Caenorhabditis elegans: one gene and its partners. The protein of the gene in region 2 interacts with the protein of the main gene of each other region in a pairwise test. Each region holds a gene or a part of one and is shown on either strand. Other genes may lie near its edges.

Region 1 (3,754 bases), on a different chromosome or scaffold from region 2:
ATGGCGCCGTTCGGGGGTATAGCTCAGTGGTAGAGCGCTCCCTTAGCATGGGACACAGGTGATTCGCGAGTACGAGTTTTATGCTTCATCCGAGGTTCGCGCGTGCTTCGAATGGGTACTTGAAAACATGAGCAAAAATGGAGAAAAATGCTCGTCTTTGCGAACGAACGCGAGCATAAAGGAGGCATTGCGAAAACAATTTATGCTTCTTTTTTTTCACTTATATCAGCTGAAAAAGTTCAAAATATAACTTCAGTTCTTGTATAAGCCACCCCCACTACCCGAAGACATGATTAAGCCACCTCAAGACATTTTCGCAAACACGAGCATTGTGTGCGTCGAAGCATTTTGCTTACACTGCGAATCACCTGTGGGAGAGGGTTGGGGTTCAATTCCCCATACCTCCAGAATCTTTTTTACCTTATGAAATTTTATGAGCGAAAGTGTTGACTCGTTTATATCGATTAACGGTCGGTGGTCTATGATTGCAAGTAATTGCTTGACGGCTCGGCAGACAGGTCGTGGTGTTGAGTCGAGATTGTGGACTATTCTAAAGAAATTTAATAATTTAGGTGTTCTTAAAGCTGAGATCTTACCTGGCAGGAATGCTCCAAACATCATTCCAGTGACAATTTGGGCAAAAAAGCTCTCCACTGTAATCACAAAGACGTGCTTCTTGTTCAGCAACTCCATCAAAGCAAATCGGTGCAGTACATTCAGCACATTGATATTCCTGCTCCGCGAGGCTTCGTTCCTCACACAAATTTGTGTTTAATTCGAATTTTGCTCGAGTTGACAGAACTCCGGCACACACTCGTTTCACCTCTTCCGCGCATTTGTCATGAGCACGCATTCCACAAACTGTAAAAGATTACTGTAATTCAGGATTGAAATGTTTCGATTTTTTCGTGATTTTGGCAAAATATTTTTTTTACTTCGAACGAAGTTAAAGTCTATCAATACCTCTGCATCGCCTCCACCATTGCACGAGCCTCCAAATTGTGTGCATACAAACTTCACAACATGGATTATGTCCACCTCTAACTGGTTGCATTACAAATTCATGTCCTTCAGCACGGCACTCGTCTAATGGAGATGACGTTGAAACAACAGCTTCATCCTGAAAACTTTCACTCTAAATTGGAAAATATAAAAACCATACAGCGTCGAAATAAATTAATTTATGTACTATTCATGGAGTTTTTGATGCACTTGGCCCCTGACGCAAAATTTTGCGGCAAAAACACAGTGCCCGGTCTCGACACGACAAACTGTATTAAATTCGAAAATGCGTGCGCCTTTAAAGATTACTGTAGTTTCAAACTTTCGTTGCTGCAAAATTTTTTCTTACGAATTGCTAAATTTATGAGTGATTTTTTTTCGAATACAATATCGATGAAAATTGTGCAGACAAAATTTTTAACCTACAGTACTCTTTAAAGGCGCACACCTTTCTGCATGTGCAAAAAAAACAATTTCTCCAGACCGGGTACCGTATAAAATAACAAAATTTTGCCTTTAAACCATATTCACTGTCTTCATACCTGCAAAGCCTGCCTCTCCAGTCCCAATTGTACAATTTTGTCGAAATACATTTGTTGTCGAGCTGCTTTTTGTTGCCTATCAAGACAATTCACAAGATTTCCAAGAACATCACGATCCTCCGGGAACTCTGTGTTAGAGACAATGTTGACTGTAATATTGCACATTTTTTACATAAAAATAGGAAACACCAACTAGGTTTCGTCTTTGTCTCTTTCCCATCCATTTCTGTATCTTCTTCATCTATGAGCAGTTCCTTTAGTTTATCTCTACAGTACTCCAATGCAGCTTTTATGCATTCCACGTGGTTTTCTGCTTCATTGCTGCGTCTCCAATCATCCATCATCTCTTGAACTTCTTTATCAATCTCATTTTCATCAATTTTTGAAATAAGCCAAGATGATTTACGGGAACGTGTGGAAGGAGTTGAAGATTGATTATGAGCATCTTCTGATGAACACCAAGAAGACATCTAAAATTTTAAGTCTTTTTGCAATTTTCTTTTTTTTTGTGATTCTCTAGCCAAAAATAATGTGTTACTATGAAAAATCGGCAGAAACGAGTTTGAAATTACAGTACTCTTTAAAGGCACATATCTTCTCGCATAAAAGAGAAATTGTCGTGTCAAGACCGAGTACTGCATTTTTTGCTCAAAATTGCAAAATTTCGAGTCTGGTCAATCAGAAATTTTGAAAAAAAAAACAATTAATTTTGTTTTTTTCTCTATATTATCTTCGTTATACGGAATTGCAATTTTATCAAACTATCTAGAAAAAAAGTATGATTGAAATTGATAAATCTCGACAATTCCAAACAATTCGTTAAATTCATCAACAATTCATTTTATTACACGTCTCAAATAACACAAATGTATCGAAAGGGAAAAAAAGAAAAAAAAAGATCCAGGTAGACCTCGAGAAAAATTCAATTTTTGGACGATTTATTTTTTTTCCATTTTCCCATCAAATTTTCCAGGTCAAACTGATAAATGGTTGGCAGTTTTGAGTTTATGTTCTTATCAAAATTGACCTTGAAACCTGGTGAAATTGATGGGAAGGATCGACCGGCCAAAAATTGAGGAAAAAGATGAAAAATGTATTGAATTGTAAGAGAAAACATGTGTTAAAGCTAGTGAACTCCAAAGGAAAAATGGGGAGGCCTGTTCCGAAATAAAACTTGTCAAAGAATTGTTTTAAAAATTCCTGTAAACCAGAAAATTGGGAAATGGAAGAAAGGGAGAGGAAAATGGAAAATTAAGCCAAAATTAATACAATTAGAAAAGTTATGATAATGATGAGAAGAAAGAGAAACAATGTGGAGAAAATAATTATAACAAATGTTGGTGGGAATTGAAAACTTTAAAAAACAATTCTCAGCGGGAAAGATGAAATGGGAAATTGAAGAAAACCAGATATTCGGTGAAGAAAAATGACAAAAAAGAGAGAATGTGTGGTATCTGCAGATATATATCTGTACTGAAAATGGATAACAAAATGGGAATCTAAAAAAAAAATAAACTGAAAAAAGAAAACCAAATATTTGGAGAGAAAACTGATATCGATCAGGGTTCAGTTTTCACGTAACTACGACCACAATGTGTTTCGAGTTGCTGCACCAAATGGCGGACGTGTGTGGGCAGGACGAGAAGGCCTGAATGATTTATTGATTGGTTTTTATTGTGGGAATAATAGTAGCGTTCAGAAATTATATTCGAAAATGTCTGCGCTCAATCAAAAATCTTGTATTGATAACAGTTCTAACATAAAAATGGAAACAAACAACACATGTTATTGTCGTTGATCAGTAAGTGAAAAAGGCCGTTGATCAAACATCTCTATAGGTTGTTACTTTCCAAAAAAAACCACCAACTTACCAACAATCTTCTGATCCTGTTCAGTTCGTACACGAATCACTTGCATTCGAGATGACTTTCGATCACTTCCAGCAAGTACTTCTTCCACAATTGGCCAAACGGAGAGAACAGAGCCGGATAGCACAAAATAGGTACGAGTACGACGACCGACTTCGCAATAAGTTCCGTTTGATTCGGTTCGACACTTGCCGTAGACGTAGTTGTGTTGACACATGTTAGCAGCAGCTGAAACTCAGAAATTTACAACATGGTTTTCACATTAAAAACACTCACAATCGTATTGCTGCTTCCAAACCTCCTTGGCTTCATCGATTGAAACTTTATGGAAACGTTTACTCA
Region 2 (3,754 bases):
CATTAATCCTTCGTCAATTGCTCTATTTGTTAACGCATTTTCTTCGGATTTGACCATTTTCACTTGCCAGACACGTTCACGAAAGGATGTTTGTATTCTGACAGTTTCAGAAAAATCGATTGAGTGCTGTTGTGACAACTCGGTGATAGGACGAATGCTGGCGTTCTCTGTCTCCAAAAATTGCTAGAAAGATTAATTCAAATTGTATTTATTTATTTATTTTGCTCACTTTTTCTTGAAATCATTCCTTTACTAACTATTCATGGTGACGGATATATAAATTTTTAACAGAAAAATTAGAAATATGTAGGCACTTTAGAAATTTGGAAAATAATGTGGGTGAATGGCGAACGTGGAACTTATATTGAGCAACAGTAAGGCGGGGCAAATAAAATCGGGGTCTAATACCAATTGGGTGGGAATAAAACATAAGCATGATACAGGATGTCATGGAAAAGAATAATAACGGAAAGAAACGAAGGAAATGATGAAATGGAGGATCCCTGAGTGAATGAAAAGTCACAGTATGCGAGAAAGGTGAGAAAAACCAAAAAATGAAATGTTAAGCCCGTGTCGTTGTAAGATGACTGGAATTGTTGTTAGACGAGTTGTTGCTCACGCGAATCGTCGATAAAATTGAATCGAGCCGCTCGACTTTTGTCATCAGGTCTTTGACGATTCGATTGATGCAAGCACCGGCGCCCGTACCGGTAGATACTCGTTGGCTCTGAAAGCTATGTAAATGTTGGCTGAGAACTATAAATGGGTTAGCAAATATTGTTTTTTCGGTCTATTCTGCATCTAGAGATGCTATCGTTTATAGTTGTGAGGGAAAAAAGAATTAGAACTCGCTGCAAGAGTTTTTCGACTAAATGTTTTTCATTCCGAAATAAGGTGTGAAGCTATTAATTGATCGAAATTTGCAGGTCTTCTTTGAATTAATATTTGGATATTTACTTTCAAAAATCCACCAAAAAAAGAAAATTTACGTACTTTTTCTTGAATATTTTTATTGTCATCGATGCGCACTTCGTCAATTTTTGCAATAGTTTCCTCCATTCGAACATCTTCGTGGTGCTGCACGTCTTCCATGAAAACATCTTCCGAGCCTTAAATAGTACTAGTTATTTTCATTCTCAAAATGCGACAAATACTTACTCATTTTAAACTCTTCTTTACTTGGACCTGGGGATGGCTCGTCCGGCAGAATTTCTGGATCATTCCTCAATGGTTCTACAATCAAACGTGGCCGTTCTGTTGTTCGAAGTTGTTCTTCTCGTAATCTATGCATTTCTTCAGCAGCAACTTGCCGTTCATAAAGCTCACTTTCCAACATTGCTATCTTTTCAATAGCATGATCCAGTTTCGATCCGAGATCAGATGCTAGATATTCCTTATTTCTTTCTGATGTTTCGAGCACATCGTTTCTCTGTTCCAGTTTTCGAATTCTTTCTCTCTGACTTTCACATTGTTCATGAAGATGTGAGTTTTCTCGTCTTAATTGCTCTTCGACTTGTGCAAATTGTACACGGGAATCGTCCTGTCGATCCTTTAAAATTCACAAAATTCAAATTATAGTTGAAAAATTTTATAAAGTTTTTTTTTTCAATTTTAATGTAAAAAATAGTACCAACCTTGTTCCTAATTTGCTCTGTGGTCATCTGCTGTACTCTGGTTTCTGCTTTTTTCAGTTGTGTTTTCAAATCATCCAATTCTGAATCCATCATTTTCTCAATTTCCGCGGAACTTGTCTGGAACTCGTTAAACTCTTCGCGCATTTGCAAGAAATGACCAAGAAGCTCATGGTGCGGTAGTCCGCGAATTTGATCCTCAGACAAATCCATTGATTTCTGATGATCTGAAAATATTAAAGGTTTAGAAAATTGTTCAGGATATTCAACAAAAATTATGAATCGTAGGAAAAAACGTATAATGCCGCCTGTGAACACACTAAACCCTTACAACGTTCGGCCACGTGTGGACAAAAAGTGAGAGAATAGAATGGACATTTGGGAAAGAGAGAAAAAGAGAACTGGTCGAACGGAGGAAAACAGAAGCAACTACGTATTAGTTGCTACCGCAAATGGATGTTTTTTGAGGTTTAACGATGTTGAAGAAAAGTCTCAGTATTCTTATAAATCGGGATATCTAAGGTCGCCATCATCTGATAGACAGCTAAAGTCATCTCTCTGAGGAAAGATGGAAAATCCTCCAAAGTTTTTGACACAAGGCATTCGAGCAAACAAAAAAGTGGGGGTGCTCCGGCTGCTCCGGCCGCCGTGTGCTCTGTGTTTGTCCTTGCTCCCATAGCTCGTCCGCACTTCCGCTACAAAAAGTCGAACAGCTGTGCGAGTAACACCAATAGGCAATAATTTTAAGATCAGATAACCTTTGAAGATTTCAAAATACTTTGAAGGAAAATTTTACTGTTTTTTGGGTTTAATACACTGATGAAGTTCAAAGAAATCTGCTATAAGAAACTAATTCCGAAAAAATTAACACTTTTTGTAAATAGAATAGAATAGTCATTCAAGAAAATCTGTGTTAAAAGAAAAATTGGTAAATTTCTTCAAAGAGTATTCCAGAAATGGCAATCAATTTTAGTAATCGATAATTAAACTTCGGAAATAGAAATTAAATTCATATAACAGTCCAATTTCCCACACGAAATTCAGGTCAAACTCACGATAGGCAGCAGTCGGAGGAATGGGGAGCGGCAATGGTCGCGTATAATAACTGATAACAAATAGAATAAGGAATGCAGAATATATTGAGCATATTATTTGAAAGATTTTCAAGTTAAGCGGGTCAATTTAGTTGTAACGATTGAGACTAATGATGTAAGTGAGAATTTGGAGAGAATGAAATGTATTAACAAACATTTAAAAAATGAAATTCCAAAACGCCTACGCATGACTCATCGAGTTGTTGAGTTCTAATTGGATTAGGTGTGGTGAACACAGAAAATCGTACGAATTAGTGAACAGAAACACGAAACCGGTTGAGATAATAAATGACCAATTTCAGCGGTTAATATAGGATTCACGAATCACTGGGCCACGTCACGAGGAGAGTTGGGGGTGGTATAATCTGTTTTTCGCGTTTTTTCCCGCGCCGCAGTACCACACCTAAATTTGATATTCGAAAATGTAAATGAACGAGAAAAGTGCTTCACATACACACAAACTATACGATTCATCTATTTCCTATTCAGGTCGACATGACACGATCAAGGTTAACATCACTCTGCTGAAGAATTGAATAGTACGAACAGGTGAACAAAAAAAGAAAGCGATCGTCGCAAAAGATTCCTCCACATTGAGAAGCCTATCAAATCAGTATTTGACTTCACTCGTAAAGTGCCAATCGAAGAGCGAGAGCTCTGTGTTGACATTTTGGTGCTCTGACAAACTGAACTGATCATAAAACTTTTTTGTTCGGGGGCAAGCAAAAGCTGAGTAAATACGTGTTTAGCAATGAAAATGCCGAGTTTAGAAACACTCAAAACTGCCAAGAATAGAAGACAGAAATTTCGTAAAAGAGTAAATGGTGCAAAATTTCAAAGCAATTGTTGAAAATTAAAAGAAGAAAAAACATTTAGTTTAAAAGATGGTTTCAAAAATCTGTTACACAATATGTCGTCAAATATGCTGCATTAAAAAACTTGCGTACTAAGAGAACTACAGTAATACATATATTTTCAATGCTCGCCCGGAAAATTAATTGAAAACGTTCAACGAAGAATTTTGAATTT
Region 3 (3,754 bases), on a different chromosome or scaffold from region 2:
GAGTGTGTCTCCGTCTCTCTGCGTCTCTCACTCTTACACACTCTCTCGTCGGGTCTCTGACTTCTCTCGCCTGTCGCCGCCCTTTCGTTTCACTTTTTTAGTGCATTATTTCTCATTTTTTCTTCTTCTTGTTTGCGGTTTTCATCTTGTTGTTGTTGTTTGTTTTTTCGATGTTTGAACGTTTTATGAGTCACGCATTGACCTTTTTCGCAATGGTTTTTGGCATTTTGTGAGGGTTCTCAGTGGATTTTAGGCCTAAATTTTGGGAGATTTCACGTGGTGTCAGGCTGTCTCATTGCGGTTTGATCTACGAAAAACGCGGGAATATTTTTCCAGAAAAATTGTGACGTCAGCACGCTCTTAACCATGCGAAACCAGATGAGATGTCTGCGTCTCTTTTCCCGCATTTTTCGAAGATCAAAACGAAATGGGACTTTCTGACTCCACGTGAGATTTTGCTTTTTTGTTCTGATTTTGCCCAAAAATTTGTTTTCTGACTTTTTTGCGCACTTGAGTTTTGCGTCAATGTCTTGAAAGGTCTCGGAAGGAAAATAGACGTGCCCGAGATCAGGCTCCGCCCACAAAATGGACGGAGATCCCAAAGGTCCATCTATTTACTTATTGTTTGTTAATCTGGAAAAATCGGATTTTCTTCAAAAGTTTTAAAATTTTTTCTCTAAAACTTTGAAATTTGCGCCGACGTAGCTTAGTAAAAGTGGGTGTGCCTTGTTAAGCTCCGCCCATAAAATGGACGGAGCTCCCAAAGGTCCATCTATTTACTTATTTTTTGATAATCTGGAAAAACAGGAATTTCTTTAAAAGGTTCACGTGGAGTCAGAATGTCTCATTTCGGTTTGATCTACATTAAATACGGGAGAAGAGACGCAGACAGCTCATTTGATTTCATGGTTAAGAACGTGCGGACGTCACAATTTTCTGGAACGATATTGCCGCATTTTTCGTAGATCAAACCGCAATGAGACAGCCTGACACCACGTGAAGGTTGAAGAACTTAGCTCTAATAATGAAATTCGCACCGACGAAACTGAGCAAAAGTTGTCGTAGTTTGTTAGGCTCCTCCCAAAAAAGGGGCGGAGCCTAATAGGTTCCTTTTTTTACAAAAATGTGGAAAAAAAATTCCGATACTTTCAAAGGTTTTGAATATTTATTTTTAAAATACAAACAAAACTTGATTATCGAAGTTCGGAAAAAATGCTCCGTTTAGGCTCCACCCACAAAAGGCGCGGAGCCTAACAGATTCATTTTTTGCAAAAAAAAAAAATGGAAAAATGCACGTGGAGTCAGAAAGTCCCATTTCGCTTTGATCTACGAAAAATGCGGGAGAAGAGACGCAGACTTTTCAACTGATTTCGCATGGTAAAGAGTGTGCTGACGTCACAATTTTTCTGGTAAAAAATTCCCGCATTTTTTGTAGATCAAACCGCAATGAGACAGCCTGACACCACGTGAAAATGTCGATATTTTCATTACTTTTAAATATTTCTTTTTAAAATATAAACATAACTTGATTATCAAACTTTGGAAAAAACTTGTCTGCCCGTTTAGGCTCCGCCCACAAAATGGTAGTTTATTTGCCCCTTTTTATTTTAGGAATTTGTTGGTTTTGGTCAAAAATCGAAGTTTTTGTATTTCGAGCCATTTTTTCTTTTAGAGGAGAGGATTAACCAAGGAGTGGGCGTGACCAATCAGGCTCCGCCCACAAAATGGCGGAGCTTATTACTACTTTTTTGCAAATCTAAAAAAATTCCCATTTTAGTCAAAAATACTTTCTTTTTTTTTTTTGAAAAAATTGAAAATGAATTTCCCGCCAAAATTTTTGAACTTCCTGTTTTTCGTTAGATTATAATTCAAATTTTTCTCCACTTTTTTTTTGGAAAAAATGTTTTTTAAAAAATAAATTTATTTTTTACCCTTTTTTTTAATTATTAGCGTAAACCTTTGTTTCCCCTAGAAACATCGATAATCAATTGCTACTTGCAGAACTTAAATATCGACTTAAAAATATTTTTCCATCACCAATGTCGCAATCGACATCATCCGAAGGAAGCGGTCCCGCAGCGAAAATCGCGAGGAAAAATTCACCGGAAAATGATCCGGAGACGGCGGAAATGTTCATTGTGAGTTTGAACACATTTTTACTGTGAAATATTGTATAATTCTGGAAAAACGACGTTTTTCTCAGTAGCGCGCACTTGCATTGGCGAGAAATTCAAAAATTCTAGTTTTTGGTTAAAAATCGTCGTTTTTTCTTTATCTAAATAGCTTTTTGATATTTTTAACTTCAGGTCGATGAAATAACGGACATGAGATACTCGACCACATGCCGTCAGTTGCAATTTCTCGTGAAGTGGGCGATTCCGGGCTCTGAAATGACGTGGCAACCGTTGGATGACTTCCCATTCGGGCTCAATCACTTTAGTATTCTGGATTATCGCAAAGATCACGAGGAAAAGTACGAAGCATGCTTGCAGAAACGTTAGTTTTTGTTGTTTTTTCTTGATTTTCTTTAATTTTTTCGTTGAAAATTGCAAAAATTCTGAACTTTTGCGTCATGGTGTACGTGCACAGCGGGCACGAGACTTGACGCGCAATTTAAAAAATACAATTTTTTCGCGAAAAAAACAGATTTTTCAACCTTTTTTCGTGGTTTTTCGAATTTTTTTCTTCAAAATTCAATTTAAAACGCATAAATTTTGTTAGAAAACCTATTCTACCCTGTTTTCTCCATAATTTATCGCAGAAAATTTCCAATTTTCAGTGAAATCTCAAAAAAATTAGATTTTCTTCATATTTTATTTTAAAAGCGTGTTTCAAACCTGCTTCAAATTAATTCTTAACCTAATTTCCGCATAAATTTCCTAAATTTTCAGAGCGGCGCTCAAAAGTCATGAAGGACGACGATCGAAGCTGGAATGTGAGCCGAAATGTACGAATTTATTGGAAAATTGTCAAATTTATGGATTTTTTTACTTAAAACTTGTGAATTTCACGCTTTTCTAACAAAAATTTGAATTAATTGTAAAAATATTGTTGAATCTGACGACGGAATTGCAGAAATCCCCGCAATTTGTCGTAAGATTCAGAAATTTTCAAATTTTTAGTCGAATCGCTCAAGAAATCGCTCAAAATCGTCGTCGAAACCTGCACAACGAACCGAGCCGATGACCCAACGCGAGAAATTTGACGCAATTCTTCAAATTTCCGAGATTTCCCTGGAAAAACAGTACAAACTTACCAATAAGAAGGTCCCGCGGCGATCACAGTTCACAGATCCGGATGCGCCGAAGAAAAAGTCAAAAGGCGCCCGCCATTATCGAGATCAAAATCTGAAAACCCTATTCAAATCCTCGCTTATCAGAAAATACAGAAAACCACAGGAGTCCGACGATGATTTGGAGCCCGATGTCGCCCAGGATTCACCCGAAAACACGCCCGCGCCGCCGACGAAATCGCCAGAAAGTTCGGGATTTTCGGAAAATTTGGAGAATTTGGGCGCCAATACGCCCTCGCCGAGCCCCGATTTTGAGGAAGAGCACTTGGAAAAGAAGCCGGAAACTGGGAATTTGACGGAAAATCGACCGAAAAGGGTACGGGATGCACCTTATCTTACGGAAAAATGCAGAAAAATTTGAAATTATCTCCAAATTGGCGTCAAATTAGGTGTTTTGGCGGTTTTTTGTGCAAACACCGCGAAAATACACCGAATCTTACGACAAAATACAAAAAATAGAGA

Evidence for each region.
Region 1: the proteins of nud-2 (region 2) and F20H11.1 interact in a two-hybrid assay, tested with the Caenorhabditis elegans proteins (one large-scale study listed by BioGRID).
Region 3: the proteins of nud-2 (region 2) and cec-2 interact in a two-hybrid assay, tested with the Caenorhabditis elegans proteins (one large-scale study listed by BioGRID).

What each region holds. Positions count from the first base shown.
Region 1 is NC_003281.10:6,590,162-6,593,915, forward strand, and holds the start of F20H11.1 (Differentially expressed in FDCP 8 homolog), read right to left. Parts: upstream 2,015-3,754; coding exon 1,738-2,014; intron 1,694-1,737; coding exon 1,545-1,693; intron 1,121-1,544; coding exon 964-1,120; intron 862-963; coding exon 597-861; intron 551-596; coding exon 421-550; exon of another isoform or gene 372-420; intron 1-371. Other genes in the region: let-765 (Protein strawberry notch homolog), read right to left, coding at 3,104-3,192, 3,416-3,640, 3,689-3,754.
Region 2 is NC_003279.8:7,857,560-7,861,313, forward strand, and holds nud-2 (Protein nud-2), read right to left. Parts: upstream 1,859-3,754; 5' UTR 1,845-1,858; coding exon 1,635-1,844; intron 1,550-1,634; coding exon 1,159-1,549; intron 1,110-1,158; coding exon 994-1,109; intron 728-993; coding exon 563-727; 3' UTR 197-562; downstream 1-196. Other genes in the region: apb-3 (AP-3 complex subunit beta), read left to right, coding at 1-187. UniProt on the Caenorhabditis elegans protein: Part of a complex with lis-1, which is recruited to the nuclear envelope by unc-83, where, in turn, it recruits dynein to the nuclear surface and regulates nuclear migration in hypodermal precursor cells.
Region 3 is NC_003282.8:1,168,671-1,172,424, forward strand, and holds the start of cec-2 (Chromo domain-containing protein), read left to right. Parts: upstream 1-2,037; 5' UTR 2,038-2,039; coding exon 2,040-2,138; intron 2,139-2,306; coding exon 2,307-2,496; intron 2,497-2,891; coding exon 2,892-2,947; intron 2,948-3,122; coding exon 3,123-3,608; intron 3,609-3,754.